Linked DNA regions of Schizosaccharomyces pombe. The protein of the gene in region 1 binds, or shares a complex with, the protein of each later gene. Each region holds a gene or a part of one and is shown in the gene's direction. Other genes may lie near its edges.

Evidence for each region.
Region 2: sfc6 (region 1) and sfc3 share a complex: the UniProt entries of both Schizosaccharomyces pombe proteins name them as parts of the TFIIIC complex.

Annotation. Positions count from the first base shown.
Region 1 is NC_003423.3:2,257,349-2,265,888, forward strand, and holds sfc6 (transcription factor TFIIIC subunit Sfc6), read left to right. Parts: upstream 1-4,836; 5' UTR 4,837-4,865; coding exon 4,866-5,808; exon of another isoform or gene 5,809-5,850; coding exon 5,851-5,967; intron 5,968-6,010; coding exon 6,011-6,214; intron 6,215-6,261; coding exon 6,262-6,746; 3' UTR 6,747-6,816; downstream 6,817-8,540. Other genes in the region: SPOM_SPBC21H7.03C (multiple inositol polyphosphate phosphatase), read right to left, coding at 1-687; ATP-dependent RNA helicase Dbp7, read left to right, coding at 1,466-3,595; hikeshi family nuclear import carrier Opi10, read right to left, coding at 6,954-7,525, 7,652-7,682. UniProt on the Schizosaccharomyces pombe protein: TFIIIC mediates tRNA and 5S RNA gene activation by binding to intragenic promoter elements.
Region 2 is NC_003423.3:2,746,963-2,755,502, forward strand, and holds sfc3 (transcription factor TFIIIC subunit Sfc3), read left to right. Parts: upstream 1-3,920; 5' UTR 3,921-3,952; coding exon 3,953-7,972; 3' UTR 7,973-8,199; downstream 8,200-8,540. Other genes in the region: DNA polymerase delta catalytic subunit Cdc6, read left to right, coding at 1-193; hen1 (S-adenosylmethionine-dependent methyltransferase), read right to left, coding at 229-1,365; ribonuclease H Rnh1, read right to left, coding at 1,829-2,555, 2,740-2,807. UniProt on the Schizosaccharomyces pombe protein: TFIIIC mediates tRNA and 5S RNA gene activation by binding to intragenic promoter elements.

The DNA of each region.
Region 1 (8,540 bases):
TACAGCATGGGCAGCATCAGTTGCATTTTTATGAAAGTTATTATCTTTAAACACGGGACATGCGTTGTACATGGATAAGGAGTTGGCACCTGCTGCCTTACCTTCAGAAATAAGGATAAAATTGGTTTTTTCGTACATTTTATCACCAAATAATCCATAAGTAAACCATTTTGCAGATTCAACAACACGTTCCTGTTCAGCCGTATTTATGTCGTAAACGTATGAATCAAAAAGTTTATAGTAACGCTGGTATAGCTGACGACCCAAGTCGAAAAGTTCGAGACGACCACGGCTGGAAAGTTGATCGGCATTTTCTGCATCTATTACAGGAGTCCACTGCTTAATAAAACATAAGGGATTCTCGGGGTAGCTGAAGTTTACGGGTATTGAGCCGTTTAAAAGCTTTTCCTGAAAATTATTTAAATATTGTGAACTATATACATCAGTGGCAGTTACATCGCCCGTTGGGTTTCTGGAACCGTGACGTTGAAGAAGATGAACTTGTTGGATCTCACAGGTTTCAGGGAAAGCAGAATCAAGACCATCAAAGTAGGGCTCATGATAAGGACTTAATGTTCCGAGATGTTCCTTGAAGAAAAAATTGCTTTCATAATCCTCAAACTGAACATTATCGGCATTGACGATGAACGCAGCTAAGAACCAGAGAGAAATGATACACAACTGCATCACGAAAATATATCAGCCAAACGAGTAAAAGGCCTTCTTAATTATTCGATTAGTAAAGCAGAGCTTTTGAGGAAGAAAAATTAAAGGATCAAAGTAAGAAATTGATTAAAACGAGTGACAGTCCATTCAACCAACAAACTGCTGGTCAATTGAGGTTAGGAGCGACTTTGAAGGATTAATTGAAAGGTAACCATTAAAAGATACAACGTAATGGTCCTATACGTGTAATTCGTGTATCTGCCAACAAAAGCTGGTAGCTTCCACTAAATTGAAATCTGCTGCCGATGCCGTTCCAGTGAAAACGTAAAACATCATGGCAGACGCGAACTGTTAATGTACGTTACAGTCAATACGGATACAAATAACGAGTTTCGACTAAACATTTTAACACGTATAAGAATTTCGATGTTAAAGTTATTTATAGATGTGCATGAGCGCGGTATTTCCTCCTGAAGCATATTATCTTATAAAGAAACATATATATTGCGCTTATTGTTATTCTTATACGCAAAGTATCTATTAATATTTTTAAATACAAATTAGGTCAATAAAGTCCGACTGAAGGAGTAATTTATGTTTTTAACAGTGCTTCTCTAGGTTTAATATTACTTAAATCACCTATAGCTGTAAAAAGGTAATAAATGACCTTTTGGAAGAATACTTGAATGCGTCTCAAGTATTTAACGCGGTCTAGTATAGCATAGCGTAATGGAGTACAATTAACTAAACTAAGCACGGTGGAAGCACAAGTTTTCAAATTTTCATCAACTGTAAGCAAATGGCGGACGAACCATTGCTTCTCAATTTTGTTGTTGATAATGCTCAATCAAGAAAGCCTGAAGCCTTGAAGTCTAGTCGTCGCTGGACTGATCGCGCTAGAGATAGAAAAAGGCAAAAACGCAATTCTAATGAATCATCAAAATCAACCGTTAAAAGAAATTCAGGCACAAATGGTGCTTCCACTGATTATAAAAATTCACAAAAGGAAAAAGTAATAAATCCTGTGTTTGATCCTAGAAAACCAGCTCATGAGCTAAAAGGCAACAAGCGCGATAATACTTTTGTTACATCTTTGTTTACGGGTGATGATTCTGAGCATTTTTCACAGGACGTTGGTCAAAATCTTGAGGATAATCAAATTAGTAATATTGGGACTACAAAGGAGGCATCCAACGCACCTATTAAAACTACCAACTTTGCTGGTGTTCAATTAGATACTCAACTGGCTGATCATTTAAATAATAAAATGAACATTAGCGCTCCCACTGCTATCCAAAGCTGTTGTCTTCCAGCATTGCTAAACACAGATGATAAGGATGCGTTCATTGAAGCACAAACCGGATCGGGTAAAACTTTGGCTTATTTACTACCAATTGTGCAACGATTGATTCGACTTCCTAAAAACTTACACACCCGTACTAGCGGTATATATGCTGTGATTATGGCTCCAACCCGGGAGTTATGCCAACAAATTTATAACGTTGCTAACAAGCTCAACAATAATCCGTTATCACACTGGATTGTCTCCTGTAATGTGATAGGTGGTGAGAAGAAAAAAAGTGAAAAGGCTCGCATACGAAAGGGTGTTAATATTTTAATTGGAACGCCTGGTCGTTTGGCGGATCATTTAGAAAATACGGAAGCACTGGATGTTAGTCAAGTACGATGGGTCGTTTTGGATGAAGGTGATAGGTTGATGGATATGGGGTTTGAAGAAACTTTGACTAAAATTTTATCTTATTTGGAATCACAAAGCAGTATTATTAAGAAGGATCTCAGTATTCCTTCTCGTAAGGTTACAATGCTTTGCTCCGCTACAATGAAAGATACCGTAAAGCGTTTAAGTGATTCCGCTTTAAAAGATGCTTTGTACTTAAAATCATCTATTGTGGAGGAAACCAATGACGGTTATAGCCAGGCACCCGAGCAGCTTCTTCAAAGATATGTTGTTGTTCCTCCAAAACTGAGGCTTGTAAGCTTGGTTGCCCTATTGCGAAGTCATGTTAGATCATATAAGAAAATAATAATTTTTCTTTCTTGTTCAGATAGTGTTGATTTTCACTTTGAAGCTTTTAGATGTGCGATAAACGCTGATGAAATGGAAGAGGCCGTGAAAGAGAAACCGGACTCTGAGGGTGATATCATTTCAAATGCTCCAGCTCTGAGAATAGATGGCAAATCAAATGTATACCGATTACACGGTTCCTTGTCTCAACAAATCAGGACTTCGACGCTGAATCTTTTTTCTTCAAGTGAAGATTCTGGTTCACATATACTTTTGTGTACAGATGTGGCAGCCCGTGGTCTTGATCTGCCAAATGTTGATTTGGTTGTGCAGTATGATGCTCCGTTTAGTACCGACGATTATTTGCATAGAATTGGCAGAACAGCTAGGGCTGGACACAATGGTGCAGCTATTATGTTTTTACTCCCGAAGGAAAGTGAATATATTAATTTGTTAAAGTCTTCAGTTAGCGCTAATATATTGGAGCAGCCTAATGGTCCATCTGGGTTGTTGAGTGCTGGTTTTTCGCAAGGTAAAACAAACACCAATGATTGGCAAGATCGTGCAACAGAATGGCAGTTGGAATTGGAGCGTTTTATATTAGAAAATGAACCTATGAGGAATATTGCAAAAAGGGCTTTTACTTCTTATGTGAGGGCTTATGCAACACATCTTTCATCAGAAAGAAGTATTTTTAACATGCGTGACCTTCATTTGGGACATATTGCTAAGTCCTTCGCTTTGCGAGAAGCGCCGGGCAAAATATCTGGTGCAAATTCTTCAAAGCCAAGAAAGCAGGGTGGTTCGGTTGATAAAGGTAAAAGTAAATCATCGAAAGACATTGCTGCTTTGATGCACAGAAAAGCAATGGAACATTATTCAACGGAACACAATATAGGATAAACATTATTTGTGTAAAATTTAAGGTTCAAACGGTTTTTGGTTGGCATTTGTATATATTTATATAATTTAATTTCGATCTTTTAAACGCAATAACAATCTTTCGAAGATAAAATCTCTTGCAAGTGATTATGGAGAAGTTAAGTTATCATTTCTAAACAAGTATTGAGAGGAATTATGAATGGCGTGCCATGGTAATGCTTGGCAATTGTATCTGCTATACAGGTTATGTATAACAGCTGAGATATATCAAACACCACATAATATTACTATTGCTGCTTATGTAGTAGTCTTGCACCATTGCGTTATGTGATAACTCAATTTCAAGGACTCACTATCCCTTATCCAAATAATATTTGTAATGTCAGTTGTGGAGCTACTATTTTAAATTATTAAAAGATTCAAGACAAAAAATAAAAAAGTTAGGAATAGCCTACAGCACCCCGGATTCCCATGTTGTCTCCAACCATAGTACTAACGAGGCCCTCAGACGCTTAACTGCAGTGATCGGACGGGAACTGGTGTTTTCGCCTAGGTATGGCCGTAGACGTTTGTACCTAACGATAATTCTTTTTAAAATTAAACAAACAATTAGAAAATAATGAAATCCAAGCATCAAAATTTAAAGATTTGATCAAGAAAAAACTGCTATAGGAGGTTCCTAATATTAAGTTTGAACTACTGATTAAATTATTTAATAGTAGCATCACATACTATTCCCTATAATCCTTTAATAGTGTCAGAATAATGCTCTCAGCAAACCCGTAGTAATTGAAAGAAATTTGTTGCATATTTACCAGTGAAATTGAGCTAACATTTCACATAACGTTTAGTAGATTCAATATAACTATATATATATTTTTTTCGATTACCGAAATACTTCCTTTGACAAAATCGTGTTAACAGAACTAAAAATGAGGAGAGATAGGCTGGTAAAAAGAGCAATCGAATTTCATTGAATGTGTTAAATACTTAAAATAAATTTAACTATTTGCAAAATTTATTCTTTATGAAGTTTCTGCATGGACTCGTATTAACCAACAAATGTTTGAAGTTAAGTCTAAGTTTCACACTCACAATTAAAGCAGGATTGAGCTGAACCAAGACGAACAGCAACAAATTAAGAATTGGGATTTTTTAACAAATTAATTTTTTCAAAGTGGAATAATTATTTGAAATAAATATTTTCTTTGAGCACTTGCAAACGAGGTTTTGATTAGGTCAATATTGCTTTGATGAAGTTCACCACCATTCCTAATGAATATTGACGCGTATGGGCCCTAAATCTAAGGAATACGAAAATCCAAGCTCTTATAAAAACGATGAAGATAATGATGATGACGGCGATTTTGTTTTAGAGAACGTTATGTCTGAAGAAGACATAGAAATAGAAACACCGTCAAGAAACCGAAAAAGGGTAAGTACTACTCGTCGAACCCCCTCAAAACCTATTAGAAGTCAACCTTTAACACCTTCATCTTCCAAAGGCGCTGGGAATGAACCGAAGAGTCAGAATTCTAGTACTACTCGTGGAAGTGCTAAAAAGCAAAGTTCAAAAGGTTTAGAAGAGAAGTTAATAAATTCTTACGGGACTCACGTTGAATCTTTAAATAAAGGAAGGAGGCTAATCGAAATTTGGAAATATTATGAGACTGCTCCTGGTCAATCTTCCTTTGAAGGTCAGACGTCGTCTGATTCCAAGTTGCAAACACTTCTGAATCTCGACGGACAGCAGTTATTATCATATTCCGAAAATCCTTTTTATTTGTTTGAAGTTAAAAATTTAAGCATAAGTTTCCATTTTGAATCACCACAGCAAGTTGAACCCTGTCAACCGGTAAACCCTTTTAAGGAAAATCCACAGAAATCGGGGTTTGTGGTGAATACAGGGATTCCTTTATCGTCTGTTTCATGGTTACCAACAAATAAAGAAACACAGTTTTTAGCTGTAGGAGGGATGCTAAAATTTTCAGAAACTACTGAATCAGTATTTATGCGAACTTCTGGACGGAATCAAATTCAACTTTGGAAACTAGAAAACAAAACCAATTTTAAGTCGGAATTTATATTGTACCATGATTGGGGAAGTGTTCTTCAACTAGAGTGGTGCCCCACAATTTCGGTTGAAGATTCCATTCTTGGGTTTTTAGCAGTTGTCTGCAGCGATGGAAAGCTGCGCGTTCTTCGTGTACCTCGATCACCAGTAAAATTTCATGGTATTAAACATCTTTTTTTTTCATTCTCCTAACATGAACTAGTATTCGTCGAACAAGCAGACTTTACTTTTGGATTTAATGATTCTCTTATTTCTTGTTGCACATGGGTTTCCCCAGAACATGGCGATATACATCAAATTTTGGTCGGCTGCTCTAACGGTAAGCCTGTTAAACTAAATTATTGTTACTAATTAAGTATAAGGTTATTTAGCTCTGTGGGATATTTTGAGCAGCCAGGAATGTCCCCTTTTTTACATCCCATATCATGATTCTTACATACATAATGTAGTACAGTGCCTGGATGACTTTCCGTGGCTTTTTCTGACCACTGCATTTGATTGTTATACTCGAATATTTGATATTCGCGATCCCATAATTGATAATAGACCGCTTTCTCATAAACGAGGTACGATTATTATTATTATAGCTTCTTCCGAACTAACTTAATATCAGATATTTGTTACACAATCACTTGGAACAACATGTTGCAGTCGATTATCTCCTGTAGCGAATCTCAATCTGTGGTCATCGAATCTTTACGAGGCACTTCGACACAGTTATTAGATGAAAGAAACGGCTCAATAATATCTCTCTCAAACAGCAAGTTCCATCCTTTTGTAGCGTGTGCTGCTTCGGATGGAATAGTTACGATCGTCAATCCATTCCGTCTTTTGGGATTCTCTCACAAACAAAAAGCTAATGTGCATAGAATATTCCAGTTAGAATATAGCGAAAAACAGGATTCATATCGTATGTTAGATGGTTTTCGTCCAAGGCTTCCCAAAGCCAAAAAGCTAGACATGTATATTTATCCATGGCAAATCCAAGTGAACAAAGTCGAGTGGAATGGAAACAAAGGTTATGCTGGTTGGTTAGCTAGTGGTATGGCTTGCGGAATCCTACGAGTTGAAGATCTCTCAGCCGTTGAAAGAAGATGATAAAATTATCCTTTATTAATACAATATATACGATTTTTTATAAATAAGATCTAGCATTTGTGTTTCATCACTTTTTTTTGGAGAAAAACACATACATTGTATTCTATTCTATTTTTTCTGCATCATTAAGATATGGTTTTATGTACCATGTCGGTAATTTTCGTAGGAAATAAAAATGAGGTTCAAAAACGGCATTCAACCTAAATGTCAAATCTGATCTTCAGAATCTAAAAAGTTTGGATTATTTGATAACTTGTTTAAAAATTTTGCATGCCAATCCTGAAAAACTCGAAGTGGTATGAATGTATCATTGGGCCGCAGGTCACCTAACCCAATGGAGTTGGGAGGAAGTTGAGATGTCGCAAAGCTTGCTAGGAAATTATATAAGTTGGTTAAAATTTTTTGGGCAACAGAAGTTACGGGAGGTAAGGGTTTGGCGATGACATTCGATGCTGAAGTGCTTACAGCTGGTGTTTCTGTGAAATTGGTCAAAGGCTCTACACTAATACCTAACATGGCAGTAATTCCAACGCAATTTTCATTTTCCGAAAGAGTTTGTATGGTGTTTTTTAAACGGAAAATTGCACTAGGCTTTTCGTTTGTCAAATAACCTAAAAATTGAAAAGGCTTTCCAGGCCATTGAAAGTAAACCTTAGCACCCATTCCGACTGGGAATGGAGAGTTTGGCAAAAGAAAAACCACAATGTGATTCAAGCTTTCCGCAGAGTCTAGTTGGAAGACAAATTGATTATCGGCGACTTGTTGCAAATTCGTTTGCACTAGATTGTGTATTAGTTATGTGTATATAATAAAAACATTTATTTAAGTTTTATTTTTGAACTTCTAGCGTGAAAAAACTTCGTTTAATGTAAAAATTGTGCGAAAGTGCCAGAGAAGCGACATACCTAATCGACCAGCACAGATGGCACCAAACATGATTTTCGTTAAGTAGAAGAACTACAAGTACGCAGGAAACAAAAAAATATAGAGTAGTCTTTTCTTTGAAAAAGTCGTCTGACAATAAATTGGCCTGTACGAAAGGTTAGGAGTAAAAAACAAATCCCGTTCTAAAATCCTGCTACTTAGAAGAAGTAAAAATCAAGTAACAAGGTTGCTACATTTGATGACGTAGTATGGACTGGTACACAGGGTGAGGATAGAATGAGAATTAGCATAACGTTCTAAAATTTATTATAATTTTTTTTTTTTTTTATTTTTGTTGTTATTTATTTATTTTTAATTGGATTTGTTGACTTACAAGCCTATTTATGCGTTGTAATATTATCATTATTATTATATGGTATTTTTTTTTATTTGAACGATTCATCCACGTTAATAAATAAGTTATAACTACTAAAAAAAAAAAAAATTATATATATATATATATATCTACATGGAATGCTTGTTTGTGTCATGGGTACTTTACTATTCAAAGTACCTGAGCTTAGTACTTACCTATTTAATTATGATTTTTTGCGTATGAAAAGCATCTAACGCTTCTTTCTGCAAACACGATTTTTTTGGACTGCTGAGTTAAAACCTCATAACCGCATTTTTTAACGCAAACAGTGAACGATTAGGGACGAATTATCAACTGTTTTTAAGCAGATGTCAGTTTCAATACAACTAGCTACAAATTCTAGCAACAGTACGGTTGGACAAATAAAATATATTCAATAAAACATATGTGATAGTACAATTACGCATTCTGTTTTGTTCCTCCACTCCAAAGCGAAAATTAATTCCTCAAACATTTTTTTTATTAACCGAATCCATTCTGCAGATATTTGTAGT
Region 2 (8,540 bases), 490 kb from region 1:
TGCTCAAGTGAATGATTTAGAAGTTCGTTTTGCTCGCTTATGGACTCAATGTCAGCGATGCCAAGGAAGTATGCATCAAGACGTCATTTGTACCAGTAGAGACTGCCCCATATTTTATATGCGAATTGCAGAACACAAGAAACTTCAGCAATCTGTTGACTTACTGAAAAGATTTGATGAAATGTCCTGGTGAAAAAGATGGATGTTTTTAATTACTAAATGTGTATATCAAACGTAATGATGAAAAGTTATAATAAAAATTCTACTTTTCTTAAGTACTTTTGCAATGCGAAAACTAAACGAGTTTGCCAAAGCTATACCTTTATGTTTGCTTTTTTTTAATTCAGGACAATATGATAAGTAAATTGAATCATCATAATGGAAGGCATGTCGAATGAGAGGCGAAGACTCCCAGATAAACAAGAAAGGTAATTTTACTGACAAAGCACACTTGCCAGCAATAACCTGGAATAAAAGTAAACAGTGACGTCCAAATAAATGATCAAAAAATGCTTTTTTCAGAAGATTCATAAATTGCTGCACTGTTGGAGGAAATAGTTGCTCCATAAATGGGTATGTAATCTTTTTGTAAAGAAGGATGCTTGAATTTTGGTCTTTTAAGAAGCAATGAGAAGCAGCATTGTTTTTAGATTGATGAAATACTGCGATTTGGGTGCAGAAACCGTAAGTAGATGATGGGCGAAAATGTAACAAATCGTCACCATCTATTAGATCATTTAGCAAACCACAGCCCGTAAATTCAACAGTATACTCTGGGTATCTTTTACAAATTTTATAAGCCCATTTAGCAAACTCTTTTCGATCCCATTCAAAAACGTGTTCAGGATGTCTAAAATTGGTAGAAGTACGAGATGATATACTACTTGTCAAGGTTGATAGTTTCTCAAAGATTGTGTTAAATTCAAAATTCGGAGTTGACACTACGCAAACATTGGGCTTCAAGTTTCCAAAAACAAGTTTTTCAAAGGCTAAAATCTCTGCAACTTGACAATGCTCAATAAACTCTGAAGCTACAACCGCATCAACATGTTTATAATGAGTAAAATCTTTAATATTACCAAGCAATAATTCAATATGTAGCGGTCGCCAACGTAGTTGTAAAAAGTCTTCGGTTCTAACCTGTAAAGCCTCAGTAGCTCTTTCAATACTTTGTTCGTTAATATCAATACCGGCCAGAAATTCTATAGGCACTTGATCATTGCAAGGTACTAAATATGATAGAAAACGAGCATCTCCACATCCAATGTCTAACAAAGATCGCACAGGGAAGCCTCCTTGAAGTATTTTAAATAATTTCCTTCGACGCTGTACATGCAAAGGTGGGTAAAAGCTAGAGACACCCATTGTCTAAACTCAAAGTATTTTTGGTACACTTTCTTCACGTTAGTCAAATAACTACCTATTAACTGTGAATGTTCGTTTCAAAACCACTATTTAAGCCTTTTCAAATTCATTACGAAGCGAATTGTTATTAATTCTTTGCTAAGTCCATTGCAATATGATTTCGATGACTGCCGTTAAGACACCGAACCAAATTTAATTGAAAAGGGAATTGTTGACTAGTGCGAAGTGTCATTTTCAACGTTAAATAATAAAATTATCTTAGCTCCGAATCTATACTTTTCAATTTCCTCTTTAAAATTGTTATAATAGCATGATATTTAATTACAATAAAATATGTAGCATTATGCAAAACGAGAACAAAAAAAGCACATACAACCAGCGAAGAGTAGACGAAAATTATACGGCAAATTTCAAAAGAATGTACCTATATCCATTTTTTACAGCGCTCATCATAGATGACCATTTACTCAGAAGCTCCTCGCCGAGCAAGCATATCGGCTTGTTGATTACCGTAATCGGTACTGTGTCCTTTCACGTACTCTAGCGAAACATTTCTGTCACTCATCAAATCTGAAGCGCGGTTGATCAAATCCAAATTTTTTACAGGTTGTGAATTGCTAGTCTTAAAGTCATTTTTCTTCCATTTAGGCAGCCATGTGGTTAGTGACTTAATGGAATAATTGCTGTCAGAGCGGATGGTCAAATCGCCAGATGTATTTTCAAGGGCTAGGATTATGGCTTGCAATTCCGCACGATTGTTGGTTTGCTCTTCCCCAGCCAACGGTACTGAAATATTTCTTGGGTCATCATTTCCGAAAAAAACTCCACAGCCAGCAACAGCTCCTTTTTTCCCATTTCGCAAACTAGAACCGTCAGCATAGACGACCTGTCGATCCGAGCACGCAATTGATTTTTCATGAGTGTCATTCGAAAATATTTCAATATCTTTTTCGGTACTATAACTTCTAGAAATTTTCTTTCTATATTTATCGGAGTGTCTAGCAGAGTAATTTGAGGAACTAGAAGAATATGGAGAGTACCCATAACTTGTTGTACTGCGGCGATATGGGCCAGAAGACGAGGAGTAGCGACTTCCTTCGGTCCTGCAAAATTCCTGAGCAGCCTCATAGCTGTCAAATTTCTTGTAGCGATTACCTCCATAACCTTTCACCTGATCCGACGCCTCATCCCTAAAAATTAGTAAGAGTTTGTTAAACAACAAGGTGTATCCATCAAGGAAATGTTAATAAGAGATCATCTTGAAAAAACCGATTCAGATTGAATTGAAGCAAAGCATACGACCGTATCGAAACTTGCTTAACGTGAAACTTATATTTAACAACGAAACCATTTTCTTGAGATACGCAGTCTTACCATGTACTATATATACCAGTATTTCGACCACGCGCTACTGCATAGTATGCACGCTTATTTCCACCCATTTCGTAATGCGAAGATTCAAAAATAGCTTTAAAATAGTAAAACTTAGTAAAACTTGGGAGTTTTTCCCAAAACTTTGCAAAAATACTTGTAGTTGACAAATTGAGCTGTAGTCTTATGAGTTATTGAAAATAGTGCAGAAAAAAGAAGGATTTGGATTTATAAATTTATATTAATTTGTAAAAGAGTTCAATTGACGATTAATAATGGTAGAGCATCAGGAAATGTCACATATCTGGACTACTGCAGTACGATACATAATAAAACGGGTTTGCTTATTTACTAGCTGCATAATCTCTGCACACTATATTACGGTAAGCTAGTTAGATCTCCGCGACTGTTATACCGCCTGACATTAAAATTAATACACAATTGATAGTATATTTTATTAGTTAAAAGCTCCTTAAATATAGAATACTCATTTTATGTCCTTAGCTCATTTAATGTAGTCTAATTTCAAACAAGCAGAAAAATGTATTGTTTGTTTAGTAATAATTGTTTAAGTCATTTTACCTTTTTAAGATTATACTTTCATAAAGAATCCTCATCTCTGTTGGCCTCTGAGTAGTTTGCAAATTGCGCAATTGTTATTCTAAAAAGAATCTTTTAGTCAGAGAAAAGATTATGCTTTTGCAGTGGGTATTGCCGCGCGTAGCAGAAAATTTGTAAACTATTCCACCATGTGCCCTTTTCAATTTAGTGCTAATTAAATGTTCAGTTTTGCGGACTTTAGCGTTCACTTCAATATTCCAGAATTCATATTTAAAAGAAAAGTTTTGAGAAAGTTTTCTTACTTTGTTTTATCAGCTGTATATATCATTTAGAGCTGTGCTTTATGTAACCATCATTTCGGTTACAAGGTTGGCATATGAGAATATACTCATAATAGCTACCATCTGCTTACTGAATAAGAGCATATTAAAATGTGAACCGATTTAGTCGTTTATTGTGTCGGTATACTATTTAGCAGTCGTATAACTCAATACATCGGTTAAAGTATATTAAATATGTCTTTAAGTTCTTCTGTATAAAATTTAACAAAATTTTAAAAACACTCATAAAGTATCACTATTTTCACTAACTTTCACCTCTCGAACCACGCTTTCCTTTTGTACATAGTGTTAGAACCAGCGTTCGAATCGCCCTTATGGATTCACTCATTCGGCATTGCTCAGAAGAAATTGCTTTGGATGGATCATCGGGATGTAGCATAGATCGTTTATGGGAATTTGCTGCAAATTTTTTTTTTCGGCAAGGTATCGTACAAAATTTAGACGATAACTATAAAACATTTGTGTGGCCTTTAATTTTAAAAGAAGATGGAATTGAGGTTTGGATTGAAGATGAAGATGCCACTGGATTACGAAGTAAAATGCAAGAAATCCCTTGGAATTACCAAGATATCACGATTGAGTTACGCGCTCGTATACGCTTATTCGCTTCAGAAGACAGGCAATGGCTTACTCTCACTTACAAGACGAAGACAGATTCAAAAATTCAACCTTTAGCCTTTGAATTATTGTCTTGCATATCTAGATATAGGCAGGAAGGTGTTGATAGAATCCAATTATGTAAGGAGACTAAGCAGGAGCCTCGAAGCGTTTACGGTCGTATTCAAGCGCTAGAAGATGCTTCTTTAATATCAAAGGTTGCCATTAATCGAAGCAGAGCACAAACTGCTCTGCTAGTTCTAAAGCGATTTGAGTCAGAGAACAGCACAATTAACGAAACTGTTGCTCAGGTATCTGGTAAGCAAATTTATAACACTGAAAAAATTCGTAGCAATATATGTGATGCTGTTCAGTCTTCACGTAACGGAATTTGCCGTCATGTTGATGCTCGTGCGATGGTGAATTTAAACCACAGTCGCTGGGAACGAAGATATTATGCTCGACAAGTTACATATTTACACAATAATGGATACCTTCGCAAATGCCTTACTTTTGTTCCTAACTCTCCAGAGCGTTGCATTCGCTGTTTACAATTTATAAAACCTTACATTTCATCTTTAGACGCAACTGAGGACGACGTTGATTTTACTGAAGTGGATGATATTCCAGAAGACGATGAATTAGAGGAAGAAGAACCACTCCTTCCGTCAAAAGAAGAATTTGATGCTTCCTTTTTGCAGCCACTAGCCGACGTTGGACCTACTCTTCCCCAATGGTCTCGTTTTCGTCCATTGGAATTCCAGTGTTTTGTCTTAATCAGAAATGCCGGATTTCATGGGGTAATCACTTTACAAATTTTGAGTGGCCTTACAGGAATACGTTTTAACAAACCTTTATTTAAGCTCCTTGGTTCTTTAGTGGAACATCGTTCCAGTGTGCCAAACCATCTCTCACACATGAGTATTACTCGATTTGAAGATAAAACTAAAAAGTCGAGACAATATAGATACTTTACGCTTCAGTCTCAGTTAAATCGCCTTATTCGAGATGGCATTCCTGCCGAAACAATTTCGAAGCTATTACCTCACGTTCACTCACTCGCTGGTGAATTTTCTCCAATTGACTCTTCCCTTTTCTTAAATTCTCTACATCATAAGGGAAATATGGAATCTAATGCGGAAGTATCTCCCGACGGAATGACTTTATTGCCAAGAAAAAGAGGTAGACCTAGAAAATCTGCAAATATTTCTGTAACCTCATCTCCCATTCGGCCCTCTAAAAATGAAAATAATCTACCTTCCCTTGCTATTTCACCAGTTTCCGAAGGGTTCATCCAAAATGCTACAATTTCTACCCCTAGCACTAGTAGCAACCTAAGCATAGCAGGATCTTTGACACCCTCGAAAACGTCACGAATTTATAGAGGCCTTGCTCCTCTAAAAAACCCAGAATTTAATGAAGACCATGTTAAAAAAGCAGAACATTTGGAGCCTCTTTTGAACGTGTCATCAAGTGTTCCTTCGAAGAATTTCACGGTTAGTTCGCCAGATCACCTAAAATATGGAAACACATCTTCTTTACAAGTCTCTGATTCTCAAAGCTCAATTGATTTAGACTCTTCATTTCATTATCCCGTTTCAGTAGACTCACAATTATCCCATTCGACAGGCAGTCTAATGGCTAACTTTTCATCCCCTACGAAAAAGCGCCGTTTGGAATCTGTAGACTTTATATTCCTACAACGTAAAGGTTTAATTCTTTCCTATCTCGTTGAACAGAATGGGGCTTTTGAAATATCTCGAAAGATGTTTGAAGACTTGGCAGACCTTAAAGTGCGACGAAACCCGGAAACTTCTAGGACCGTTATGGATAGGAGAACTTTTCAGCAAACCCTTGAAAAATTAATGCAAGAGAAAAAGGTTCGTAAATTAGTGATTGCAACAAACAATGGACTTGGGAAGCTCGTTAGAAAAGATATCGTGGTACAATACGATATGAAGCCTGATTCACCTAGGTTTCAACAGTTAAGAGCTCAAATTACAACTCCTGAAATCGAAAAACAATCAACTCCAGAAATATTAAAAGATGTAGATGTCGATTTTTTGAAAAGGAATACTTCTTTGTCAAGGCGTAAATCTATGCCAGCGGAAATAAAACGTCACAAGGAATCTTCTGAGACTAAACCTGTTGATAAAGAGGAGGTGAAGAAAAATGAAAAGGAGAAAGACGATCCAATGAGACTCGCGCAACAACTTTTAGAATCATTGGCTCCCGATTTCGCACTGCACGAAAATACCCAACAGAAAAGCCCAGTAGAAAAACCTAAAAAGTTGCGGAAAGATAGATACGCTTCAGTGGAGGAATTTGATTATTTTTCTTCAACTGAACATGCAAGCAAACGTTCAGTTAAACGCTTCAAAAATGATTTTACATCAGATGAGGATGAGACCTTGATTAGAGCGGTTGTTATTACTCAAATTTATTATGGTGGGACCAACAGATTAATCAAATGGGAGGCTGTACAGAAATGCTTTCCTAACCGGGACATATATGCTCTTACTAGAAGATATTTATCCATTAGACAACATACAAAATTTAAAGGCTTGCAACAGTTTTTATCAGAAAATTGGCAGCAAATGTACAAAGATGCTGTCTCAAGAAAAGATTTAATGCCATATCCTGATTCTGTTGATGATTTTGATCCTACCCCATATGTTAAGGCGTCTTGTAGACCTTATATGATTAGTTCTTCAAATCTTGCTACTACTAGGTTACCGAGAGACCTCGTTGACGTTTATGAAACTTACAATATAGAGGTTGTTAAACAAGAAACTAATTTCCGGGAAATGATATTTGATCCTTCCCTGTCAGTTGCCTCGAAAATGAATGCGTATTGTGATATGCCTTTTACCATGCCGCTTTCCTTAAATGACAAACAAAATAATGAAGGGGATGAGAATTGTGAGAAAGGTCAGTTGTTTGATGCGAAGTCTACTATCAAGAGCATCGTTGCCATCCCAGACGCTACATATGATGCTCGGTTTTCGCAAGAACGTCTTATGCAGTATCCAGAAGATATTCTCATCGCTGCTCATCAAGAATTATTGGATAAGAGAATAATTACTAGAGTTAATTCAGAAAACAGTAGATTGCAGCCTGGTCGAAACTTCCAGTTTACGGAGAAATTTGCAAGTTCCCTCAAGTCTCCTTTACCTCCATTTTTATTGTCACAAGCCAAGCGATTTAATAAATTTTTATTGGAGGGTTTTCAAAATCATAAGAATCATTTATTTGAAGAAACATCTAACAGTGGAACTCTCGCATGTATCCTTGATTTATTATCTCAAGGAAAGTTGCAAATATCTATAGTCGGAAGCAAGTTTAATGAGTATGGTCTATCTGAAGGCTATCGTACTCGTTTGCTAGAACATGACAATATCAATGTAACTCTTGTTCTCAGCGGCAAAGAAAGTGAATCTAAAAAAAATTATGGTGTTACTGAAAAGTTGGCAACTCCACCTTCGCATGAGCCACGGCTATGGTTAAATGGTAAATGCGAGCTTATTGAGATGATATGGATGAATATCGAGCAGTCCATTGTATACCAACTGCTTCGAAAACCCGGAATCTTGAGATCCCAACTGACTAACTTACTATTTCCCGGATTAGAACCCCGTGAGTTTAACGAAGTACTTGATTACTTTATAGCAGCAGGTGCCGCTATTGAAAAGGATGGCTTATATCTAAACCATAATTATCTCTTTAAATTAACTTAGCCTTTTAAATGTCACCATGATGAGATGATGCAAGCTGAGTATTTTCTTTCAATAGGCTTGTCGATTTGGAACATTTATATTACAAGCAACGATTTAATGTTTATTTGTACAGTATTTAGGATTCATTTTTAAATTATCTAAAAGATACCACGCTGTGTCTGCTTCTAATCTATAATTAATTATATTAGCGTGTTTTGAATTAATCTGATTTCGCGTTTTCTTCCATCTAAACTTTATATCGTATAAAAATCAAAAAGGTTTCATCGACTGTTTTGCTGAAAAGGTGAAGAAAACTTGAATCGAGGTTATCTCTTTTCTTTCTGTTTTATGTACATAACTTTAGCTCCTATAGAAAAAAGAAAAAACCTGCATCATGTAGATTTGTTTAACTAATTTACGTATGCATATATATATATATATATATATATTAGTAGAGTAAGGTTGATTTTCTAACCATACTTTATTTACGGTAGCATCATTCGTACCTTTTCGTACGTTACGACCACGTTGAAAGTTTTCAAAGAAATTACTTTTTAAACACAAAAGAACATAAATAAAAGAGAAGTAA